4 linked regions of the Cricetulus griseus genome follow. The main gene of each other region encodes a partner of the protein of the gene in region 2 in a complex. Links are inferred from orthologs where the notes say so. Each region holds a gene or a part of one and is shown on either strand. Other genes may lie near its edges.

What was found. Proteins that work in one complex are often made in the same cells at the same time.
Region 1: Nckap1 (region 2) and Cyfip2 share a complex: the UniProt entries of both Homo sapiens proteins name them as parts of the WAVE1 complex. The link is inferred for Cricetulus griseus from reciprocal best matches to the Homo sapiens genes NCKAP1 and CYFIP2.
Region 3: Nckap1 (region 2) and Abi1 share a complex: the UniProt entries of both Homo sapiens proteins name them as parts of the WAVE2 complex. The link is inferred for Cricetulus griseus from reciprocal best matches to the Homo sapiens genes NCKAP1 and ABI1.
Region 4: Nckap1 (region 2) and Wasf2 share a complex: the UniProt entries of both Homo sapiens proteins name them as parts of the WAVE2 complex. The link is inferred for Cricetulus griseus from reciprocal best matches to the Homo sapiens genes NCKAP1 and WASF2.

Annotation. Positions count from the first base shown.
Region 1 is NC_048600.1:60,838,020-60,844,194, forward strand, and holds part of Cyfip2 (cytoplasmic FMR1-interacting protein 2), read right to left. Parts: intron 5,234-6,175; coding exon 5,156-5,233; intron 3,350-5,155; coding exon 3,248-3,349; intron 1-3,247. UniProt on the Homo sapiens protein: Involved in T-cell adhesion and p53/TP53-dependent induction of apoptosis. Does not bind RNA. As component of the WAVE1 complex, required for BDNF-NTRK2 endocytic trafficking and signaling from early endosomes.
Region 2 is NC_048599.1:94,543,262-94,549,917, reverse strand, and holds the start of Nckap1 (nck-associated protein 1), read right to left. Parts: upstream 3,597-6,656; coding exon 3,489-3,596; intron 1-3,488. UniProt on the Homo sapiens protein: Part of the WAVE complex that regulates lamellipodia formation. The WAVE complex regulates actin filament reorganization via its interaction with the Arp2/3 complex. Actin remodeling activity is regulated by RAC1.
Region 3 is NC_048596.1:211,221,335-211,227,509, reverse strand, and holds part of Abi1 (abl interactor 1), read right to left. Parts: intron 4,813-6,175; coding exon 4,798-4,812; intron 4,093-4,797; coding exon 3,992-4,092; intron 2,302-3,991; coding exon 2,161-2,301; intron 1-2,160. UniProt on the Homo sapiens protein: May act in negative regulation of cell growth and transformation by interacting with nonreceptor tyrosine kinases ABL1 and/or ABL2. May play a role in regulation of EGF-induced Erk pathway activation. Involved in cytoskeletal reorganization and EGFR signaling.
Region 4 is NC_048595.1:20,085,253-20,091,427, forward strand, and holds part of Wasf2 (wiskott-Aldrich syndrome protein family member 2), read right to left. Parts: intron 3,772-6,175; coding exon 3,654-3,771; intron 2,644-3,653; coding exon 2,513-2,643; intron 328-2,512; coding exon 172-327; intron 1-171. UniProt on the Homo sapiens protein: Downstream effector molecule involved in the transmission of signals from tyrosine kinase receptors and small GTPases to the actin cytoskeleton. Promotes formation of actin filaments. Part of the WAVE complex that regulates lamellipodia formation.

The DNA of each region.
Region 1 (6,175 bases), on a different chromosome or scaffold from region 2:
CTGTTGCGATATCCTGACCAAAAGCAACATGGGGAAGAAAAAATCTGTTTCATTCACAGCCTGCAGTCCACCCTGAAGGAAGTCAGGACAGGAACTCCAGGCAAGAACTTAGAGGCAGGACCGGAAGCAGAGTCTGCAGAGGGTCCAGAGTGTGATCAGTTTGCTTTTTTATACACCATAGGACCACCTGCCAGGAGTGGTGCAGCCCACAATGAGCTGGGCCCTCCTACACCAATAATTAAGAAAATGCCCCCACACACTTGCCTACAGGCCAATCAACAGAGGAAAGTCAACAATTGAGATTCCTTCTTTCCATATGACTCCAGCTCATGTCAAGTTGACAAAAAACTAACCAGCACACAAGCCAAGAGAAAGACAAGAATCTCTAACAACACACAAGCTTGTACACATGTGTTCGGCTTTTGTTCCCAACAGATCCGAAGGGGAAAATCAGCCTCATCTATCACCTGGTGGATAGGTGAATAAAATACACTGCATGTGTACAGTGACATGGTATTCCATCATAAAAAAATAAAAATACCAATTGGATTCTGATGCCTGCTACAGTACAGACGACACTCAAAAACACCCCACCAACGGCAAGGGGCCAGCCATGAAAAGTCATGTCCTGTATAACTTCATTTTTAGGAAAATGTCTAAACAGGAAATCCATAGAGATAAGAAGTGGTTTAGTAGTTGCCTGGAGCTGAAAGAGAGGGTGTTGGGGATAGTAGGGAGTTAAGGCTCAACAGATTTCTTTCAAGGGTTAAATATATTCTAGAACAGGTTATATGATGAACACATAACTCTGTGAAGACACTACAGTATGCTGGGCTGTTCATTTTGCTTGGTTGAATATTAAATGAGATATAATATTATATATATATATAATATTATATATTATATCTCAAAAGTCTGTCACTGGGGGGAAAGAAAGGAGTTCAAAAGCAAGAAGCTACTGTAGTAATGGAGGGGCAGCGAGCATGGGAGAAGGAAGGAGGAGGGGGAGGAAGGGAGGAAGAGGAAGTAGAGAAGGACGAGGAGGAAGAGGAGGGGAAAGAACACAGGAAGGTGTTTGTGAGGAGGAGAGGATGTATGCGCAGATATGAGCTCTGCTCCCCTTCCAGGGCCTACAGTGCTCACCTGCTGCCCGCCCCCCCAAAGACCAGACCAGACCTCCAGAGTCTAAGACCAGGTAGGCTTTCTGCCATGGTGAACTGTTCAGCACAGCAATGCTCACCATAATGGTGTGACTGTTGATCTTCACTTTCAACTTGATGGGATTTAGACTCACCATGGAACCCCTGGCTGTGTCCATGAAGGATGTGTGTTTCCAGAAAGGTCTAACTGACCAAGGAAGACTTACCCTGAATGTGTAAGTGGTGAGGCATGACCCCATGGACTTGGATCCCGGACTGAGTGAAAAGGAGAACGTGAGCTGAGCACCGGCTTTCACCTCTCCTTCCTTCCTGACCCAGGCACAGCCTGACCAGTGCCTCATGCTCCTGCCACCACGCTTTTACTGCCATCCTGACTTGTACCTTTAAACTGTGAGCCAAGTAACTCTGATTTCCTCGAGATCCCTGGAATGCTTTCTTAGGCATCTGGCCCCAGAAGTGAGAAGAGAAACTAATATGGATGGCCACAGTGGCTACTGAGTGCTTGAAGTGAGCTTTGTGTTGCTGAGGAGTGTCCCGTTGAACTTACTACTGTTTATACACGTAGACGATGGGCACAGTGCTTGGTACACGGCTGTGAATCATTCCAGATCCTTCCTTCCATTCACACCTCTTGTCGGGGTGTGAATGGAACTTCACACCCAGTTTCTGATGGCTCTCCTCTCTTGACCCTCTTCCCAATAAGACTTTAGGCTCTGGGGAAGTCAGGCCACCTAGGATACTAACAACAGCTGTGAAGCACTGTAAGCTGACACAGGGCCCTGCTGGGCACCTACAGATGGACCTTGTTTATCCTTCCTACGATCCTGTCATGTCTCGGGGGTGTGTGTATGTGTATGTCTGTGTGTGTGACTGTGCATGAGTATGTGTGTGTGTGTGTGTGTGTGTGTGTATGTGTGTGTGTGAATGTGCATGAGTTTGTGTGTGAGAGTGTGTGTGTGTGTGTGTGTGTGTGCGTGAGTGCGTGCGTGCGTGCGTGCGTGCGTGCGTGCGTGCGTGTGTGTGTGTGTGTGTGTGTGTGTGTGTGTGTGTGTGTGTGAGAAGTGAGTCACACTCGGTCAGATAACAGCACAGCCAGGGTTTGACCTGGCATTACTCCTTACCCAGGCTGAGACACCTTCCCAGTGCTGTCCCAGTTCTTGCCTAGATGTTGAGTACAGGGTGGATTCTGGCCAGAGTCAAGAGTCTATGACTGAAGCTCAGTCCCACAGGCAGGTTATACATAGGGTATGGCTTGTGCAAGCTATAGCACCCACTGTGGGGTAAAGACTGGCTGTGAAATACTCACCTTGCCACCCTCTTGGCTGCCAATGAGACCCCAGCAAGTAACTGACTGCTTACACTTCCTGTCCTTTCTTGCTACCACCTAGCCTTCCCTGTCACCTGAGAAGGCCCTTGGCTCTCTCCCTGCCTTTCGTCCTCTAAACAGTGGCTCTTCCAGAGTTCCTGACTGGTCTCTGGCTGCGGCCACCATCCTTCTCTCTCATAGTCTCTTCCAACCTTACACCTCCTAACCCTTTTCTACCTAGTGGCCAGATAGCCTGAAACCTCAGGTCAGCTCACATCACCAAATCCAAACCTCAAGCTCACAGAACCCCGCTCCAGCCTCCCTTTAGACCACTTGTTTTTACTGTTCTACAGCCCGCTCCATTACTGTCCTCTATTTCTTGAACACACTGATTCCTTCGGGCCTTGGGGCTTTGCTGGACCATCTTCCTGGAGCCCTGTTCACCATGCCATCATACTCCTGCCTCTCCTGTGACCAGGACATAGTTCCATGCACTGTCCCTGAAGCACCAACTATCCATAGCTACTTTGCAATCTACAACTGTTGTAAATCTTATTTTACTCATGGCCCTCAATGTGTCCTAAAACTACTGTGTATTTCTGGAGCTACACATCCTCTGTGGAGGTGGGGACACCTGTTGGCCTGGCTCACCCATGGGAGTGTAGGTGGTTCTTAAAAATATTAGCTGGATGAAAAAAATGACATGGCACCAAAGTCCAGTAAGTGGAAGGGTAGGCGTCCTTGTGAGCCTTCTGCTGTGGGCCCTCCACAGCCCACTCACCTGAAAGTACATGAACTTCATGAGCTTGGTGACCTCCGGCTCCAGCACTTCCACTGTCTTCTCGTAGATCTCTACCCTGTTGGGCTGTTCATTGCACTTCACCTGAGAATGTGAGAGGAAAGTTCACCATCCAGGCTCGCAGCTACTGTCTCATGAGACTGGTCCGTAGTTCACACGTGGCACCTCGTCATGGGTGATAATGAATATGGTCACCCTAGTGAGAGGGGACTGTAGAAGACTGGCAACCCTAGAAATGATCCCTGGACACTGGCTGCAGTAAGAGCCAGCTGGTCCCAACACTGGGTCCTCCTCCCTTTCCTGCTGGTCTGTGCCTTTACAGTTGGCTATCCATGTATCTATGGAGATCTGCAACATCCTCTCCCCATCCTCATGTACAAGTGGTGAGCCGGTCTGCTCTGTCCTTGTTATGCTGTATGCCTGGAGCAAAGCTCCAAAACCACATCCAGGTGAATGATGGCTACCCGAAGCTGTGCCATCCTGAGACCCGCTTCCCCTGCCCAGTGCTTTTAGTCAGCATATAACCTTAGTACCACATGGCAGATGTTCTTTGAACACACACACACCAAGCCTAACAACAGGATGGCTGGGTGTGAGCAAACACATTTTTTTCTTTAGATAGTGTCTCACTATGTAGCCCACACTGACCTGAAAACTCAAGGTCTCCCTGACTGTTACGTGTTGGGATTACAGGTGAGTACCACATGCATTGGACAAGAACTATCTTTTATGGTTATCAATGGCTATATAACTTCCAGTACGTCATTACATGGACAAGTGATGCAATCGCATTCTACCATTACCATTATAAACATTAGAAGGACTAAGGTGGATCTCTGGAATTACCATAAGAAGGTGGCTACCACAGGGGACAAGCAAAAAGGTCACAGTAAAGTGATTTGATGCCTGTTTTATTTTTGCTTGTTTTTGCACTGCTGGGGAGAGAATCTGGGCCTTGAACCCCAAAACCTTGGATATGTTTTGCAATGCTTTGCCACTGAGGCACAACTCAAGTTTGGTCCCTTTTTCCAGAAAACAAAATTCTGAGGCTGGCCAGATGGCTCAGCAGAAAAACACACTTGCTTTCAAGTCTGAATGGGACAGACCCAATTCCTGCATGTTGTCCTCTGACTGTTACAGGCACACCCCATTGTACATCATACCCTCCCCAGAGAGAACACATAAATGTAATAAAAAGTTTGACAAGCAGGCACATAAAATAAAAATAAAGTTAAAAAAAGAAAATTGTTTTAAAAAAAACAGTTGTTTAAAAAAAACAGGCTTAGAAAATTAGGAAATGTACAAAATTTGTCAATAATAATTGTCCCTAAATATGAGGGTTAAAAGAGAGAATGGTACCTTCTGTTTACTTTATGCATGTGGGGTTTGTTGGTTTTGTTACAATGGAATCTACTAATTAAAGGAAAATATCAATAATGATAAAAATATCTGTATTTTCAACAAGCCCATGACAGTGTAAAAAAACGAGTGGTAACAATCGGCTTTATGAAATATGTTCCTGTGATAAGAAGATCCCAAACAATCTGAAGCAATGTGCACCATGATGGTCCTGTGGCCGAACATGGGTTTGGGTGAAGGAGGGAGTGGACAGCATGTTTGCTACCTTAGACCCTCTGCAATGGCCTGGGTGGGAGGCAGCAGATGCTGCTTGTGAAATGAGATACTGTGCATAGCATGTGCTGGGAACTGTTTTTAAGACCCCGGGGACGTGGACCTTCTCAGTAGTATTACGGGAAGCTCTTTGGGTCAGAGACCCAGATTTACCTCCTGCTACCCAGAAAACTCAACCCTCTGGTTTGGGTTTGATTGGGCTTGGGGGGCAGTGACACCTCCTGAAGGGCAAAAGAGGAATAGCAAGGATGGTCTCACCTGCGGGATGGCCCGGGAGCAGCTGCGCCAGGTGTACAGCATGACCGCATACTCGTGTCCCTCCTCTAGCATTTCATTCTGAAACGGCAAAGCCCTTTCATCAGGGAGAAATGACACTAGTGTCACAGGTTTCTCAAGTCTCTATCTACAGTGCATAGGGTATGGTCTGTGGCTGGTAACAGCAGCATCACCAGGAGTCTTGTCCTCTCAGGGTGTCTGATTCTATGATTAAGAACTACATTCCAGCACACCTTTAATTGCAGCACTTGGGAGGCAGAGGTAGGTAGATCTCAGTGAGTTCGAGACCAGCCTGGTCTACAAAGCAAGTTCCAGCACATCCAGGACTATTATACAGAGAAACCCTGTCTTGAAAAACCAAAACAAACCAAAACAAACCCCCTATATTCCAGTGAAGTCCCCAGGTAACTCACATGCACCTGCCATTTAAGACCGACCTAATATGAAGTTCAGTGAAAGCCAGACAAAAGGTCACGTATTCTGATTCCTTTAGATGAAATATCCACAAGAGGTACAGCCTTAAGGACAGACAGTGGTTGATGGGAACACAGGAAGAGAGGACCCATGTGAGATTGCTAACAGTCTAGGGCACATGTATAGGGTAATGGAATTAGATGGTGGTGACAGTGGTAGAATATTGTGAAGATGATTAAATTACTCATGCATATATTTAAATCATCTCCAGTTATGGAAAGCATACCTCAAAAAAATTAGGAGAAAATAATTAGTGTTATGCTTCCTTTCCTTGTAAGTGTTTTTATCTAAGGAAAAATGAATTTAAAATTTTAAATCTATTTACCTTATCCACTTTAGATTATTAGGGTAGAATCCAATTTAATTTGGAGTTTGTCACTTATTGTGATTCTATTCAATAGCAACGGTTTCAGTTCTTAATTTAGAACTTAAGTCAGCAACATGTCCCCAAGTTCAGAAACAACCAAGCCCAACCGTGGGCCTCCTGCTTTCTCTTCTGCTTGGGAACATGTGTCTAAAAGGGGAACT
Region 2 (6,656 bases):
GCTTCCCCGTTGTGATATTTTGTGTATGATCAACCAAATAAAGATTGCCTGAAGATCAGAATGCAAAACTAGCCACAGCCATAGAGCTCAGGCAGTGGTGGTACACACCTTTAATCCCATCAGATACACTAGTTAGCCATAGATACTGGGTGGTGGTGGTGCAAGCCTTTAATCCAGCACTAGAGAGGAATATAAAACAGGAGCTCAGGGTCTCAGACTATAGTCACTCTTCAGTCTAGGCAGTCTGAGGAGCATTTGGAGATGCAATCAGAGTACTTGATCTCCCCTTCCTACTAAGCATTGGTAGAGGTGAGAACTCTCTAATGGCTGGCCTCTTTCCTTCTCTGGTCTTCAGCTTGAATCGCAACATCTGTCTCTGGGTTCTTTTTATTCGTTCTACAGTGATATTTTGTATATGATCTGACAGATAAAGCTTGCCAGAAGATCAGAGTGCAAAGCCAACCACACTACTTAGCCATAGAGGCCAGGCAGTGGTGGCTCATACCTTTAATCCCAGCACTCAGGAGACAGAGGAGGATCTCCGTTATTAGTTCAAGGCCATCCTGAGCTAAACGAAATTGATCCAATCTAAAAGAAAAACAGAGCTCATACAAGGTAATCTCAGCACTTGGGATCTCATGTCTTTAATCCCAACACTAGAGAGGAATATATGGTGGGAGGAGACAGGAACTCAGTGCAGTCTGAGAACAGGATTGTCCTTTTGGTTTGAGCATTTGTAGAGGTGAGAACTCTAGTGGCTGGCCATTTTGCTTCTCTGATCTTTAGCTTTAACCCCAATATCTGACTCTGGGTTTTTATTATTAATACCAATTAGAATTCATGCTACACCCCCCCAACTGTATTTAATCACTATCTATTGAATGTCTTCTCTAACATTAGAGAAACAGGTATATTAAGTCCACCACCAAGATATTCATATCTTGATTAGAGAGATGTGTAGCTAGCTAGTCTAATGCAGTGTGTAAGTAGGATTGTAGGAGACTTGAGACTTTAAAGATTTTAGGGTGGGAAAGATAGAAAGATGGATAGGAACATTTGTGCCAGGTTTTGAAATATGAGTAGGAGCTGACAACTATTTTAATTCAAGTTCCAGAGGCTCTAACACCTTCTTCTGACCTCTGTGGGCATCAGGTACACAAATGGTACAGAACTACATGCAGGCAAAACCACTCATACATATAAAACTTAAAACCTAAAGAAAATAAAAATAAAAAGATTATGTGATTTATATTGCCATAGAATACACACAACATGGACCTTATAAACAATGATGAACAGATCTTACTTCTTTGGCTAGATGTTTGAACAAATGTTTCAATCCTTAGCCAGCTGAGTATAGACAGGCAGCTGATACAGACAGGCAATTCCACAGGCTAAAGATTCAAATTCTATCAAAAGGGCCAGCAAGATGGTTCGGAGCGTAAAGCCTGATTCCATGTCTGATTCTAGAAACCCTCAAGGTAGAAGAAGAGAACAGACTCTCACAAGTTATCCACTAACCTCCAAGCACCTGATTGCTTCCCCACTCTCTCTCTTCCTGCCACAAAACAAACAGCAGATGCATTTAACACAGAGTCTATTTTCACCAAGCACTAATCAAAGCCTATGTGCTAGGCAATGCCCTAAGTATTAGTCTTCAAAATGAATTACTCTTCTCAGAAGAAATTCATAAGCCAAGTACGCAAAATATTTCAAGTAACTAACTATATGTAAGTGCTGAAGTATACAACATTTCAATAACTCAAAATGCTTAACAATTAGATATAATGACTGCGTTCACTTATTTTCCATTTCAGGGGTCAACACAACAAGAGCCCGAGGTTTCTCAAAACAGGAAGTGAAAAACACTTTGAAAAAAGGCCACAGACTAATTATAAGTTTAAATGTTTAGAATTCCATTTACTATTACCCATGAGAATAAAATATTTAAGTCTGTTTATATTTATTCTATAAAAATGTTTAGAGACTTGACTGCATCAAAGAAAGTATTTTGCTCAAACACCCAAATCACTTCTGATGTTACTCTCACTTCCTCTTCTAGAAACCATCATAACCATTTCCTCTTTAACCACAATACCGCAGGTCTAGTAACTTTTAGTAACATTTGACTTGCTGGGTTTTTTTTTAAGAAAACAAAGTCCATATAAAACTTAGATTTCCAAGATTTCTTAAGCAGTGAAATCCAAAAGTCGTTCATCATCAATGCAACTTATACTACCTAAAATTGAAAATTTCCAAACCCCATAAAGTTGCAATCAAGGGGTGAATGTAGAGGACTTTATCATGTCACAGACTGAATGGGTACATCCTAGCTCCAGAGTGTGCTGGGTTTAGAGACAACCATTCATTGAAACCAAGTGAGTAAGCAGAACAACACAGCTATCCTTTCCCAGGATTTAGTATTACTAACTTAAAGCAGTGTGCTTCAGAATTAGTGTCTAAATCAAATTGGAGAAGTAAAACAAGTTTATACTCGAATGCTTTGACTTCAAGTTTTAAAAGAATCTTCAGCAATACTCACAACCTATATACTCCATTGCTATGGTCAAAGGGCAATATTTAACGTTATACTCTTTTAAAACGAGATTATGAAAAATCTGACATACACATACAAACCCACAAGAATGTAGATGTATAAAATGTACCAAAGACAAACTTTTTCTCTACTAAATTCCCTGAGGCTCATCAAAGAAGTCTTAAACGGATTTGAGGTTGTTTTCCTCTAAGGTAAATTAATGGCATTTCCCCCCTATTTTTATCTCTACTTTTCTTAACTTCAATACAGCTCTCCACTCCCTAATCTGAAGGCACACGGATTTCCAATAGGTCTACTGACTAGTTACTCAAATCCTCGCATATGTTTTGAAGGGAATAGCAATGGGAGCAGATTTCGTTTTTATTTTATGCAGCCATTGTACTTTAAGGAATGGTGCCTTGGTGCTCCCCAGATAGGGTTGGGAAAACTAAAATGAGGAGGAGTAGAGAGGAAAGGTTGTTATTCCTGTTCTAGTGACTCACAGCCTACAAGTATTTCAGACGAAAACCGGTTCCACCCTCACTTCCCCCTCCTGTCCATCTCCAAAATGAAATTATCCTAAACGTCAACATGCTGGGGGGTGGGGTGGGGGAGCTTTATTCAGCGACCGAAATATCAAGTGACCAAGTGGAGAGCGGAGCCCTGAGGGTCGGTCGCCACATTCCCACACTCGCAAGCCAAGAAACCCGGGCCCGTTCGCCGCAGCCCGGGAAGGCCGCGCGTCTCCCTTCCCGCAAACCAACGCGCCGCGGCGGCCATGCGCGGCCCGGCCGGCTCCTGCCGCCGGGAGCCGGGAAATGGCTCCTGCCTGCCCGCCCCGCGGCTCACTCTAGGCCGCGGCGCATCCCGGAGGCCCCGCGCGATTAGGCCGAGCTCGCGCCCGCGGCCTTCCCCCGCCGCACCCCGCCCGGCCTCGCCGGCCCGTGCGCACCTTCTTGATGTTGTAGAGGCGCGTGAGCATGCCGACGCCCCGGTCGTTGAGGATGGTGAGCTTCTCCGCCAGCTTCTGCTGACTGGGCTGCAGCACGGAGCGCGACATGGTGCGGCCGCCGCCGCCACCGCCGCCGGGCGCGCAACTCCGCGGCTCGCCGCCTCCCTCAGGCCCTCCCGGCCGCCCGCCCGCGACCTCCGCCTCAGCGCGGCGCGCCCATGCCGCGCGCCCACCCGCGCCGTGACACAGCAGCCGCGGCGCTCGCTTCCGCCCGCCGCCCTTCCGCCTCCACCCGCGGAGCTCTCCACCCCAGTCCCCCCCCACCCGGGCCGCCTTTCCCGGCTCCTCCGCTAGGTGTGGTGGTGGCGGCGGCGGCGGCGGCGGCTGAGAACGAGGCGGCTTCCCGTAGCCGGGACCGGCGCTCGGTCACCTGATCGGCCGCGCCGGCGCCCCCGCGAGGCCGCCGGGAGAACTGCGGCCCGCGCCCTGTGCGCCCTGCCGGGCCTCGGCTCCCGGGACCCCAGGCCGCCTTCCTCGACTTCCCCCGAAGTTGCCTCAGCTCCCCACCCCCCGGGACCCGCAGCGGCGTTAGGGTGGGGACGCTGTGTTTCGGGAGACTTTGGTCTCGAGACGGGGCTGGCGGCGACTCGGAGCGCGTTTTCCTCCCACGCCTTGACAGACGCTCCCGGGAGAACGCGGCAGATGTGTGCTCCGCTCGACCGGCATCGCCTCGCCGCGGTCCCCGCTCCCGCCTCCAGCCGGCTTCAGAGGAAGGAGGTCGGAAGTGAGGGCAGCTCGAGTTCCTGAGATGATCAGAATGGAGAATTATCAGGGAGCAGCACCCATCCGGCGGAGACACGAATAGGCTATGGCGTGTGGTAGGCAAAAACAACAACAACAACAAAAACAAAAAACCCAAATGTTTGTTCGGTGAAGGAGGGTTCGCTCCCAGCCTTCTCCTTAAATACCTAGAAGCAACTCTACTTTTCCACCCCCCACCTACCAAGGACTGTTTGTCATCATCCCACTCCGCGTCCACTCCTGATCCCACAGGGTTTCAAACATGAACAAAATGTGTCTCCACTGGAATGACTAGAGTGAAAACTTCCACCGCGGGGGACTCACGTCACTTGGACATTTGGGGCTTTAACTAGTATAAATCAAACACAAAATGCCTCACCACCTTAAATAAAAGGCATTCTGAAGTTAATAAGATACTGAATTCATTAAAGCAACTTTCTAATGAAATGTAACAAATAGCTTCAAAGATATTTTTAAAAGCTACTGTATCCACTAGCTTACAGAAATCTACAAGAGCACACAGAATAGATTTTCCTTAAGGGCTGTTTAAGAGTCCTAGTCCCACCAGAAAAGTGGAAACTTATCTGTCAGTGTGCAACATACATATACGTAGAGCTGCATACCTTGAATGTATATATTCTTTCCCTCTCCCGCTCATTCCTCTCTCCTCCTTCTCAGAGAGACCATCTGTTGAGTTATTTACTCTGTTATTAACCAAGTGGGAACTTTAATTTACTAGGTACTTGCCATGCTGGTAGATAACATTTAAATTTACCAGAGGCCCAGGGTCCAAACCAGAGACAATTAAGAGGAAACTGGAAAGGGGACGCTGCTGTGAGAATTTGGGGACAATCAGACAAGAAAATGTAACGCTACTGGATGTAGAGAACTACTGGATGTGTGTCTTTAGGGAAGCCAGGAATCAATTCTGTCTAGATGGATAGCTGTTTTTTTTTTTTTTAAGATGCATTTATTTTTATTTTGTGTGTATGAATGTTTTAGCCTACATGTATGTTAGTGCACTTGTGTGCGAGCCTGGAGGCCATAATACGGTGTCAGATCTCCTGGCACTGTAGTTGTGGGCAGTTGGGTTAGGTCCAAAGCAGGCCCTCCAAATGGCAGTGCCACCAGAATGTCCTAAATGACAATCTGAGCTCTAGACAGAGCAAGAAAATGACACATAAATTTGAGCAGAATTCTTATTCTTCAAGAAAAGCTATCATGCTTCCAGGTGATCTTTTGTTTCTTTGTGGTTTGGGGTAGGAGTTGTTGTTTTATTTTGTTTTGTGTCTCTCTGTTGAACTCAAGCTGGTCTTGAACTTTTGGTGGTTGTCTTAGTTACTTTTCTAATGCTGTGATGAAATACTATAACCAAAGCAACTTATAAAAGAGCTAGTTTAATTGGGGATGTATGTTCAGAGGGTTAGAGTCCATGGCCATCGTGGAGACATGGCAGCAGACAGGCAGGCAGGCTCGGTGCTGGAGTAGTTACTGAGACCTGCCAAGTGTGAGGCAGAGAGAGCTAACTAGGAATGCCTTGAGCTTCTGAAACCTCAAAGTCTATCCATTCTCAGTGATACACCTCTTCTAACAAGGCCACACCTCCTAATCCTCCCCAAATAATTCCACAACTGGGGACCAAGTATTCAAGCATGAGCCCATTGGGACCATTCTCATTCAAACCCCACAGTCTCTCCCTGCCTTGCCTCCCATGAGCTGAGATTATAGGCATGTGTACCATGCCTGGATTCCATATGAACTTGAGCACTTATAGCTGTTTATACCTTAGAGTATCCAATAGAAGAAGCATGCAGATACTCATTGTCTCAGTCAAGGTTACTGTTGTAATCACTGTCCTATTGCTATGAGGAGACACCATGACCAAGGCAATTCTTATAAAAGAAAGCCTTGCTTACAATTTCAGAGGTTTAGTTCATTGTCATCATGGAAGGGAGCATGGCAGCAGGGAGCATGGTACAGCATGGCAGGCTGGTGGTGGAGAAGTAGTTGAAAACTACATCCTGATCCGAAGGTAGAGAGAGGGACTCTAGGCTTGGCATGGGCTTTTGAAACCTCAAAGCCTACTGCCAGCAACACACTTCTTCCAGTAAGGCCACTCCTCCAAATCCTTTTAATCCTTCAAATAATGCCTCTGACTGGTGACTAAGCATTCAAATGTATGAGCCTATAGGGCCATTCTTATTCAAACCACCACAATTACTATTGCTATGACAAAACACACACCATGACCAAAGCAACTTGAGGAGGAAGTGCTTCATTTGGCTTATACTTCTACATCACAGTCCATCTTCAAAGGAAATCAGGGGTCAGGAACCTGGAGGCAGTAGCTGATGCAGAGGCCATGGA
Region 3 (6,175 bases), on a different chromosome or scaffold from region 2:
AACCTCTAAAACTCCGAGCAAGCCTCAATTAAATGCTTTCCTTTATAAGAGTTCCCATGCCATGCTGGTCATGGCATCTCTTCACAGCAATAGAACAGTAAGACAATGAGCCTAACACAGCAACAACAGAACAAAGTTTCAAGGTTTCACAGACTAGAATAGCTGCTACTGATAAACTCTCTGGAACTCCCTCGGAGCCAAGAGTCTGTCCTAGCTGAGACTAGCACACCTGCCCCTCACTATGTTGCCTAGGCTAATTTCAAACTTCTAATCTCAAAGGATCCTCCAGCCACTGCCTTCCAAATGCGCACCACCACAGTGCCTGGCTCATACTATATTTCAAAACCAATATGGTTTGATCAGTATGCCCACAAACCCAAGAAGGCAAAGATTTATAGTGCCTCGGTAAGATTATTTTACTCTCCAATATAATCAATTTACAACTGGATAATCACATTGTAATAAAATACATTTAAAAATCCACTGATAGCCGGGAGGCAGAGGCAGGCGGATCTCTGTGAGTTCCAGGCCAGCCTGGTCTCCAGAGCGAGTGCCAGGACAGGCTCTAAAACTACACAAAGAAACCCTGTCTCGAAAAACCAAAAAAAAAAAAAAAAAAAAAAATCCACTGACAGAACAAACTAGCTTAAATGAGATTCTCAACTCGTTCAAGCCAGGAACTCAATATTCAGCTTTGTGTCAGACCTAGGAATATATGTACATTTAAGCTCTTCTGCAATTCCTGACTTCAGTGTTTCTTATGTAACACAGGGTAAGTAGTAGCAAAGTATACCCTGTGAGCTAAAACTGGACAAAAGCCCAAATTTTGCCTATGAGCTAACTTTTTCCCCCCTAAATAGTGAGGGAAAACTCAAAAGAGGAATGATATTTTTGAAAACATTAAAATTATATGAAATTCAAATTTTAGTACCATAAGTAAAATTTTACTAGGCCATGGCCATGCTGATTCATTTACATATTGTCTGCCATGTCAATATATTTGCAACAGTGCTTAAGTAACCCATAAATCCTGACATAATGACATTTCTAGGATACATTTCTAAATTTCTTTTTAAAAAAAGATGTTTGTATTTCAACACAATGAGCATCTGGAAAAATCAACAATACTATGTTTTATATGTTACCGACTGGTATTTAATAAAGTCATTCTAAATAACTAGTGGTTGAATAAGATTCCACTTTGGAAAAAACATACTCTGACCCTGTAATTAATTCAGCAGCCAAGGTAGATCCTTCATAAAGCCCATTGGGCAGCTGTTCTCTAGAGGATTTTTAACACACCCTAGTTTACCAGCGCTGTCCAGAAACAAGTTAAGTGTTCTTCCTCTGATCTCTCAGGGTCCAACTGAGCCACGGAACTTCTATGACATTTAACCTTTTGTCTAAAAGCATTTAAGAGTATTTCCCTGCCCTCTCCCCTTTAATGGGAGTTCCTAGTAAATGAACCCAGAGGCCTTACACATACCAAGGATAATACCACTGAGCTATACAAATCCTAACCCTACCTTTATGACATTTAAAGACATGTGGAAAACCATTCTTGGGTCAGGAGGATGGGGATGATGAGGCGCAAGGTTACTACTAAAACACACTTTGTTGCAAAAAGTCAAAAGCCTATCTTATATGCATATTTAAGAGAGAAAAAAATTAAGCTTTATCTTTTTGTTTTTGTTTTTTTAGACAAGGTCTCATGTATCACAGCTGGCTTCAAATTCACTATGTAGCTGAGGATAACCTCTTGCCTCCATCTCCCCAGAGGTAGGATTACAATGTACCTCACCATGCCTGGCTTTTATGGTACTAGGGATCAAACCCAGAACTTCCTGTATGTTAGACAAACACTATGCTATCTTAGCTACACCTTTAGCTTCTAAAAACACTCTTTAGTTTTAATCCCAATATGTACTTGTATCTGTCAAAAAGAGGAAATATATCCTACTAATAATATACACAAACAAAAACAATTGACAAAGAAAAACTGAAGTTTTATGTGATCAGAAATATGAAGAATGCCATAACCTTTACATTCATTATTAGCATTAAAGTAGTACATCATTTTGTATGCTGTGTCTTTAAAACTCATCACTCACCAGTCAGCACCATATACTCTGAGTTCAGATGTTCACACAGAAGGCTTACCTATGTGTCCTTGGTCTCTGATTTAAAGAAGCCGTCCTGCCTGGACTATGCTGACTTCCAAGCCTTGCAGGACTAGTCATGTAGTCATTAGGAACTGTTGGAGGCTTAACAGGCTCTAGCGTTTTGTAAGGGGTATTCCGTCTAGAGAAGAAGAATGGAAAAATGGATAATGAATGAGAAAGACAAAATAACTGCCTTCCCAAATCTGTAACAATCTCTATCTGAATTATCTATAACAGAATTTTTTCCCCAGTTTTAATTTAAAAATAGTTAAGACTGGCAAGATGGCTCAGACAGTAAAGGTGCTTGTCACCCAAGCCTAGAGATCTTTTTTCAATCCTAGAACACATCAATTTACACATGGGGGGTGCCTGCACATGGGAACACACACATAGACACACACACACACACACACACACACACACACACACACACACACCCTACAAAGTTGTCCTCTAATCTCTAAAGTAGATAGCATGAGCTACACTCTCTAATGACAGAAAAAAAATTAATAGTAATTTAAACAAAAACTTTAATTGTGACATAAAAATTTTGCTGTTTTAACATAAAATAAAATGTGTTGTTCTTTCTTGGGAAAATTATTGGAAATGATCACTTAAATTTCTAACATCACTAAAAATAATGGCTTTACTCTTTAATGCTTAATAACATATATTATTAAAATACATTATACCCAGCTTAGTCACTCATAAGCCTTTCTTCAGGGGGAAAAAAAAAGTAAAACCACCACCACAAAAAAGAAAGTTGGCTATTAACTGACCCCTCCACAAAAGCAAGAAATCTAATATGGTATTTCCAAATAACTAATCTTTCATTAACATCTTGGAAAATACTGATACAATTACTACCACCAACAGGGGACCAGAAATTACCACTATTTTTTACAGCTTTCCAAAAAGCTACTCTGGTGTAAAGGGGTCTGTGAGTAGCTGCTACACTTGGAGCCACTTCAGTAGAGTCCTCAGTGTAAGGTGGAACAGAAGAAGCAGAAGACAGAGACTACTAAGGCAAATTACACAAAGCACACCACTTATTCAAAAATGTCATAAGTGATGCATGCCTTTAATCCCAGCACTCGGGAGACGGAGGCAGGTGGATCTCTGTGAGTTTAAGGCCGCCCTGGTCTACAAGAGCTAGTTTGGGGCAGCTAGGACTACACAGAGAAACCATTGGGGGGGGGGGAGTGCCATAAATATGTGTGAAGGCACTATAAGAAACTCTCTGGATAATCCATTTAAAATAACATGCAAAGAAGATTTACATTTTTTAAATGCAGAAACAAAAACTGATACTCATTTACACATATGAAAAAGATTATTAATATCTGGCATGGCAGCACCCACAATCCCAAAGCTAAGAAGGTAGAGACAGGCAATCTAGCTTACTATCCACCCAATCTAGCCTCATTGGTGAGCTCTAGGCTAGTAAGAGAGCCTGTCTTTAAGGAGGTGGACAGCTTTCCTGAGGGTAAAGCATGAGATTGTCCTCTGGGCTACACACACACAGAGACACACACACAGACACACACAGACACACACAGACACACACACACACACACAGACACACACACACAGACACACACAGACACACACAGTACACACACACACACACACACAGACACACACACACACACACACAGCACACACACACACACACACACACACACACACACACACACACACACACACACACACACACACACACACAGAATAAATGAATGTAAAGGGTAGTACCACAAGAGAAAACACAAAACAAGGATGCAAGCACTTAAGTCTCAGGAATTCTTTGTAGAATGCACTTGAATTCATACCCCAAAGTCCCTCGGCCTGACACAGGAGGGCTTGGTGGTTTCTGCGTGGGAGGATTTGTTCTCGACAATGTGCCAGTTCTTGCAGGCTGGTTATTTCCGTGCTAAAATGTGGAAAGAAAGATTTTATTTTTGTATCAACTTGTACTCTTGGTGTTTTAACATGATGTCTTTTCCTTAATATCAGAATGTGAAGTAAGGATTCCCAGACAGCACTAATACAGTTTGGTATTATATTTTAAAAGTTCAAAAGCCACCTGCATTCAGTTCTTCTATCATTTTGGGCTATTCATATCAATTTATGCAAAATACAGGTAAGACTACTAAATTTTATATTTTGTTAGACATATTTACTGATATCAATCTTATCTGTATTCAAGAATCAGAATTATTAAAATGCTTGAATAAACATTTATATGTGCATAAATGTAAACCATAAAAGCTGTAAATCTGCTAACATACTCATCTCAAATATAATCTTTTTACTAATAATTCAGCAACAAAATCACATATGACGTCTGGGAAACCTAACTCTCAAACAATGGAAGCAAAGCAACTGTAAAAACATGAGCAAAGCAGTAACTGTTAGCAAGATTAATGTTCCTAAAGTGCAAACATCAATATATCTTGGATATATTAACACAGCCAAGCTAAACGCTGAGATTTGACTAAATTTGAGCATATTTAATCTATGTAAATCCTACAGGAAAAAAGCAGACAGACATAAGAGTTTTCACATTTTAGTGGCTCTGCAGCCTCTGTCAACATAGAGGAAGTACTGTGGATCAAATGATAAGTAAGTCTCTTACCTTGGCTTTTAGCCACTTTATGTTGGCAAAAACAAAAAAGAGGGGAAAAAGTAGAAATTAATTCTAGGTAAATTGCATCTGACAGGACAGGTTGACATTTATATTACTGAATTCATGTTAACAAGCTTTATCCAGCCATATTTCAAATACACTGCAAAAGTATCTATAAGAACTAGGGAAATGTTTGTGTGTTACACTTATTTTCCAGCAGCACAGGAAATTGAACTCAGGGCTGCACATGTTAGTAAAACACTTTACCAATGTGTTACATCCAGTCACTAAGTTTCCCAGACTGGCCATGAACGGACTTTGTGGCCCAGACAAAACTTGAGTTTATGAGTCTCTTGCCTCAAGGTAGCTGGGATTGCAGGCTTTTGTCACCAGATCTATCTTACATGTACTTTTAAAAAGAAGTAACTTTCTAAGGAAACTACCAACTAATTAATAATTAAGACAATCTCAAACAGGCCTCAAAATTTCTGAGGTCAGCATTTAACCCCTGCATCTAATCCAACTGAATTACAGACGACAGAGAGTGGAATGGCATCTCAGCAGTTAAAACTATGTAATGTAACTGTAAGTGACAGTATCCAGCACCTACATGAGGCACTGCATGACCACTTGTAATTCCAGTAACAAAGGATCAAATACCCTCTTCTGGCCTCCACTCATGTACACACACACCCCTATATACACATATATACATAACTAAAAATAAAAATGTTTTTAATTTGACTTTAAGTAAACTACAATGATACAAAAGGCATAAATCTATTTTTAATTATCAGTATACAAGATCTAACACTTTATTGGACAATGAATGCCCAAGTCATTATTTGAGTGGTAGTATAATGCTATAAAAATATCAACCTTAACCAGGCGTTGGTGGCGCACACCTTTAATCCCAGCACTCGGGAGGCAGAAGCAGGTGGATCTCTGTGAGTTTGAGACCAGCCTGGTCTACAAGAGCTAGTTCCAGGACAGCCTCCAAAGCCACAGAGAAACCCTGTCTCAAAAGAAAAAAGAAAAAAAAAAAATCAATCTTAAATAGAGCTACATAGTAAGACTCTGTCTCAAAATAAAATAAAAATAAAAACTCTCAAGTTGTTTTCAATTCAGAAAAGGATGTGGCCTAGCACACCTCAGTATTTAAAAATGAAATCATGAATTCCTGACTAAAACCTGGGAATGTAGCTCAGATGGCAGAGTTTTGTGCAGCACCAGGAATACTGGGTTTCCCTCTCAGCATCACATAGCCCAGGTACAGTGGTATACTTCTGAAAACCCAGAATTTGGGAGGTTGGTGCAGCTACACAGCAAGTTTGAGGCCAGTTTGGGATACAAAAAACCCTACCCCCAAAACAAAAACATGGGTGGT
Region 4 (6,175 bases), on a different chromosome or scaffold from region 2:
TCACCTGTAACACGGGAGTAACAACACTGCCAACACAAGATAGATGTTATTCCTGTTATCTACACACTCTTGCCTGAAGTCATTTTAGTGGTCCTGATCTAGATTTTGAACTCTTACTTTGTTCTTGAGTGCTTTACTACCCAGGATGGATGGAGAGGTTCTGCCATTTACCTGAATTCTGCTGGTGGGGGAGGCAAGTTGTCTTCAGAGAAGGAAGGAGAAGGTGAGGAGGTGGAGTCTGACTGTGGTGGTGGTGGGTAGCTGCCTGCATCCACGTTCTCAACAGAGCCAATGCTGCCATTCTGGTACACCAAAGCGGATGAGAATCTGATAACATACCCAAAGTGGTCATTTAGAGAGTCCATTTTCATCCAAAGCATCCAAAACATGTAGAAACACACAGAGCTTGAATGGCTCTCTCTTTTCTTACTAAAAGATACCACATCAATACAAAACAAGGAGATTCCCCACATTACACCAAAATTATACTTTAGGCTAGGTATGGTAGCAGGTGCCTTCAAAGACAGGTGATCTCCATGACTATGTGGTATACATACCAAGTTCCATGCTAGTCAGGGTCACACAGTGAGACTGTGTGTGTATGTGTGTTTGTGTGTGCACTCGAGTGTGTGCCTGCCTGTCTGTTTAAAATCAAACCCAGCAGTTCTTTTAAATGCTCTCCCAAATATTAGGTGCAACTAAACCTGAATACCAAAACCTTACAGCAAAGAATGAAGCCAATTCCCACAGGTTAGTTGCAAACATGTGACTAGCATACAGCCTGATTTTGAGGTAGGCAAATCCCTGGAGTGTTCAAAGGCTAAGGATGCATTTGATTGCAAAATCAAGCCAAAGATGAATGTAGGCTTCCATGTGGTAGTAAGTGTGGCTTCTCTGCCATGTCCTCTATCACAGCAGCTGCTTAAAGCAGGGTGCTAGAGCTAGTTGCATGAAAACCCATTCCTCTGAGAACTGGGCCCTGGGAGAATTGACTCTGGATGAACATCAAAACTTCATACAAGCATCAACACACCAAGCAGTAAGTCTACATATTAGCATAAGTACACTGGGCACCAGCTAGCAAAGCTGGCCTGCTCTGCCTTCTCTTCCTCTTTATACCACTGCGGGGTTCTCCAGAGCTCATCAAGCAGGTCCCAGGCACAGAGTTGTAGGCAAGTAATCAAGTCAGATGATGCGCTCCTGTGAGAAACCCCCAAAACCTGGCACATCTCTTTGACAGCTTCACCCAGAAGCATGCTCCTATAGACCAGCTACACAGCCAATTCTAAACCTCCTGGAAAATAGGAAAATGAGGGGCAGGGTACCACTCCTCATCTTCACTACCCAAGTTCAAAATAAGACATGCATTTCTTTGTATATCCTTGGCTGTCTTGGAACTAGCTCTGCTGACCAGGTTGAGAGACATACATTTTTGACAGCTGGCATTATGGCCTCAGAGTCACTAATCCTATGCCGTGTGCCTATCAGAATGGGATGGGTCTGTGGAACAAAATGGCCCCTTACTGGGTAGTGAGATCAGTGAAGGCACCCTTAGTACCGGTTTCTCTGTAGAAGGGTCATTTTCTCCTCTCTCTGTCTTCATCATGCTTATAAAACAAGCCTCTGAATCCAGGAAGAACAAGTGTCACAAGTGTCAAGATTTTTAAAAGTCAAGATTTTCATGGTAGAGTTATTCCTAAAAGTAAGAACAACTCAACTCTTTCCTTTTATCACTCGTCAACACCCAGTATGGGCTGGCATGGTTCTTTGACAGCCAGAATGCAATGACTTTAGAGGAAAAGCCAGGGTGACACTCATGCCAAGCAGTCATGGTGACTTGGCTTTGAATGTCACAGGGGTCAGACATCAGGATAAGCATCAAACCAAGCTTTAAATCCATTCTCCCCCTTTAACCTCCAGTGTGATTTGGTCCTGGGAAATGGGTCAAGATGACATCCCCCACTCCCACAGAGATATACAGCCTCCACAGTGGTCCAGCAGCCTTTCCCACACTTACTCTGAGGTCTGCATTCAGTCCCTTTGGCTAACTAACCTCTCTCCCAAGACTGACAAAGACTGGCTGAAAATTTGTTCTGGTAAAGTACAAGGCTTGCGTGCTGCCCACCCTCCCCTCCTCCCTGGCTCAGCCCTTCAGTACAACCTTCTTGTGCACTTGGGAGGCAAAGGCCTCCCAAGACCATTTTCCTTGCTCTTTCCGTCTTTCCTCTGAGACCTTAGGTATACTGAATTCTGGCAGAGGAACAGCACTGGAAGCCATGCGCCTTCCCTTCCAGACCACTCCAGTCATCTCACTGAAACTGCTACTGAGTCTCTTGACTTATTTAAAATTTTTAATCACCAGATGGATGCACTTAAACTGTAGTGGACTAACAGTTGTATTGACCTAAATAAACCCTACAGCTAGATTTCAGAGGGTGTGGAAGGTATCACTCCAGAGCCTATTGTCCTGAGGTTCCAACCCCTTCAAAGAATGCTATAAAACGTCACCTACCCAGAAGGCCCCAGCTTTTCTTTGGACTCTACGAATTCTTGCCCCATCTTCATTTTCTCCCACTCTTCCTTACGCGTCTTGATTTTACGTGGGTTTACATTCCCTCTATTCGGATTATCTTTCTTTTCTTTCTATAATGAAAGGGAACAGAAAAGCCTTTGTAAAACATTTTCCCAAGTGCTTCATTAAAATTCTTCATGGACACACACTCATGAGATGATTTGCCTAGACAACACATGATAACAGCAGAATTTACAGAACTACCAGGTTTGCGGTGACCTAGAGGCCATTCAATTCAAACCACCTCCCGGGCAAAGCATTTGCTCAGTCTCACACACAAGCACCTCTAGCAAGAAGGAGCCTCAGCTACCTTTCTGGGTAACTGTTTCACATCTTTAAGCATTTTAATTGTTAGGAAGTTAGTAAACACTTATTTGTTATTTGCTGTGCCACAAAGGTCAGTCAGGGGATGAGGACTGGCAGCTCTAGAGATCTGGGGCAGATAAAGGAAACAGTTAAAAAACAAAATAAAACAAAAACCAATGAAGGATTTTCCAGCTCATGCAGCTGCACTAGCCTGTGGCACTCTCTTGGGCCTGCTGACAGCCATGCTAATGGGATTGTGAGGTCAAAGCTGGCAGGTCACACAGCACCAGGAGCCTAAAGAGAGAGGCATCTCTACAAACCAGGCAGCCCCTGGCCCCACCCACCCAGTAGTGAAGGGGTTAACCTTCTGTTGTAAACCAAATATTGCAGAACCTGGTGCTTGTCTCTGAGAAATGAGCTGCAAAACCGGCAGGGATGGGACCAGGCTAGCAGAGTGTCCAGCAGAGTCAGGTGCAAATTGCAAGAAAAATAAATGGTGAATAGAAAAGTCAATTTCTAAAACTCAGCTCAAATATACTCAATTGTTAATAGTGCCAGGGGAACAAGCACATTTTTGGTGTGATTTTTACTTTCTCATCTTGGTGGTATTTGGTATGGACACATTCTTTTTTTTTTTTTTTTTTTTTTAAAGAATTTTACCTGGCATCCAAGCAAGCAGCCACTTGGAATTACTTCACATAAGACTGGCTTCCTTTTTATCCCCACTCCACAATCGTGCCTACTGATGTGTAGAACAGAGGCCCCTTCCCCTCACCCTGTGCTTTCTCTTCTCTTTCATGATATCCTTCGTGTCCTGCAGCATCTTCTCCTTCCAAAGATCAAAGAAGTATGAAGGGTTGGTGTAGAATTTGAGTGCCTCTTTTCCATCATCCCTGGGATAGAAATGAAGACAAGTAGCTGTCAGTAGACAGATGAGCTCCCAACCAAATCCAATATTCCAAACACCAACCAGTTAGCAGTTTTTACACTAAGGATTCAGGAAGTCATTCAAATCGATCGCATATTTCCTCTCCCATAATGGCCCCAAACAAACCTCTGCCATACCTTCAATTCCCCTACAGGAATTTGCATGGTCAGGGCAAGAACAGGCTAGATCAGCAGGAATTCTGATTGTTTCTAATCATCTGCAGGGTCACAGACAGCTCCCTAAAGAGATCTGGATACTGTGCACCTCTAAGGAGATTTCCACCACTGGTTCCCCTTCCTGCCTGTTCCCCAGGACTCAGCAGGAAGCACTGAGGTCTTTCCCTCCTATCTGAAACCTGTGTACTCGTGTGTTTCTGTGTACAGCTGCTCTTCTATACTCAGATAAGGAACCAAGCACACCGCTACTTCTTGCTCCCTTTTGGAACAGCTCAGTGTCCAATACCAATCCAAGGGGACCCATTGAACACAATGACCAACTCTTTTAAAACCACAAGGTCTATAGGGAGGTAGAGGCAGGTGGATCTCTGAATTTGAAGCCAGCCTGGACTACAGAGTGAGTTCAGGACAGCCAGGGCTACACAGAGTCTTCAAAAAAACAAAACAAACAAACAAACAAAAAATACCAACAACAAAACTGCAAGCCAGGACTGGTGATGCATGTCTATAACCCTGGCACTCGGGAGGCAGGGAGAGAAGCATCAGTTCAAGTCCAGTCTAGACTATGTACAGAGGACCTGTCACAAAGGGAACCATACATGTTTAAAAAAAAAAAAAAAAAAAGTAAAAGGCCGAGTCTGAGGCCAGCCTGGTGTACATAACAAGTTCCAGGACAGCCAGAACTATATGGAGAGAAGCTACCTCTCAAAAATAAATAAATAAATGCAAACAAATCCTAATTCTGAAAAGAAATTCTACTTGTCTTTCAAAACACACAGAATATACTTCTAAATCAAACACTAATATTTTCTTTTAAAAATGCCTTAGATTAGCCGGGCGTTGCTGGCGCAGGCCTTTAATCCCAGCACTCGGGAGGCAGAGGCAGGCAGATCTCTGTGAGTTCAAGGCCAGCCTGGTCTCCAGAGCCAGTGCCAGGACAGACTCCAAAGCTACACAGAGAAACCCTGTCTCGAAAAACCAAAAAAAAAAAAAAAAAAAAAAAAAGAAAGAAAGAAAAGAAAGTCTTACATTTATTTTCATTTGTGTATATATGTGTCTCTGTGTATGCATGCACATGTGTGTAGGTGCCCACAAAAGCCAGAAGGGTGTGTCAGATCCCTGAAGCTAAAGTTACAGGCAGTTGTGAGTGCTGGAAACTGAACTTGGGTCTTCTGCAAGAGCAGCAAGTGTTTCTTAATTGCTGAAATATCTCTCCAGGCTCTGACACTAATAATTTCTATATTAACTAAATCTTGCTCTGAGTTAGAGATACCACTTAGGCCAAGTCTAGATAACTGAGAGGAGATACTAGTTCTGGTATTTTGTGTCTAAAATATAAAATAACATTTCTAGAAAGGTGAAATATCTCAATATTATTTGCTTATCCTGTCCCACCATATAAATGCTGTATCTTTTTTTTTTTTTTTTTAAGATTTTATTTATTTATTATGTATACAACATTCTGCTTCCATGTATATCTGCACACCAGAAGAGGGCACCAGATCTCATAACGGATGGTTGTGAGCCACCATGTGGTTGCTGGGAATTGAACTCAGGACCTCTGGAAGAGCAGTCGGTGCTCTTAACCTCTGAGCCATCTCTCCAGCCCATAAATGCTGTATCTTATCCCTTTCAGTATTATGAGGTATGCCTGCCCTTTCTGTCATACAGCTCTATCCAAACTCAATCAGACTAACGCATGACAGCCACAGGGGCAAGCATGACTTCAAACACTAGTAACAAAGGGCAGATACTCTGAGCCTCTTCTCTATCTGTGTGAAAAGATTCCAAGTTCCTATCTGAGGCTAATAGGCCAGTGTCTTTGCATTTACAGGGCACACACACAGAGGCACTGCTTGGTAGTGTACCCATCTGATAGACAGCATCCACCTCCAGCTTCTTGTAATGACTTTTTACCTGTTCCAAAGTTATTTATAGATACAAGCAAAATAAATAATCACTTTCTACTTCTGTTCAGTTTGTCTGTGCATGATGACAACATTACCAAACCACCAGAGGGGAGGACTCTAAGTCGTCTGTAAGGTTATCTTCCTTTTCCATGTCTAACTACAGCGAGAAAGGTCCTTGCAGAAGAAAATATCCAAAGGGTGCTCAAAATGAAGTGACTGACACTCACATGGAAGGATGCCAATTACTCCCCATGCTCTGGAAGGCCCCCTCTGAGTCTAGAGC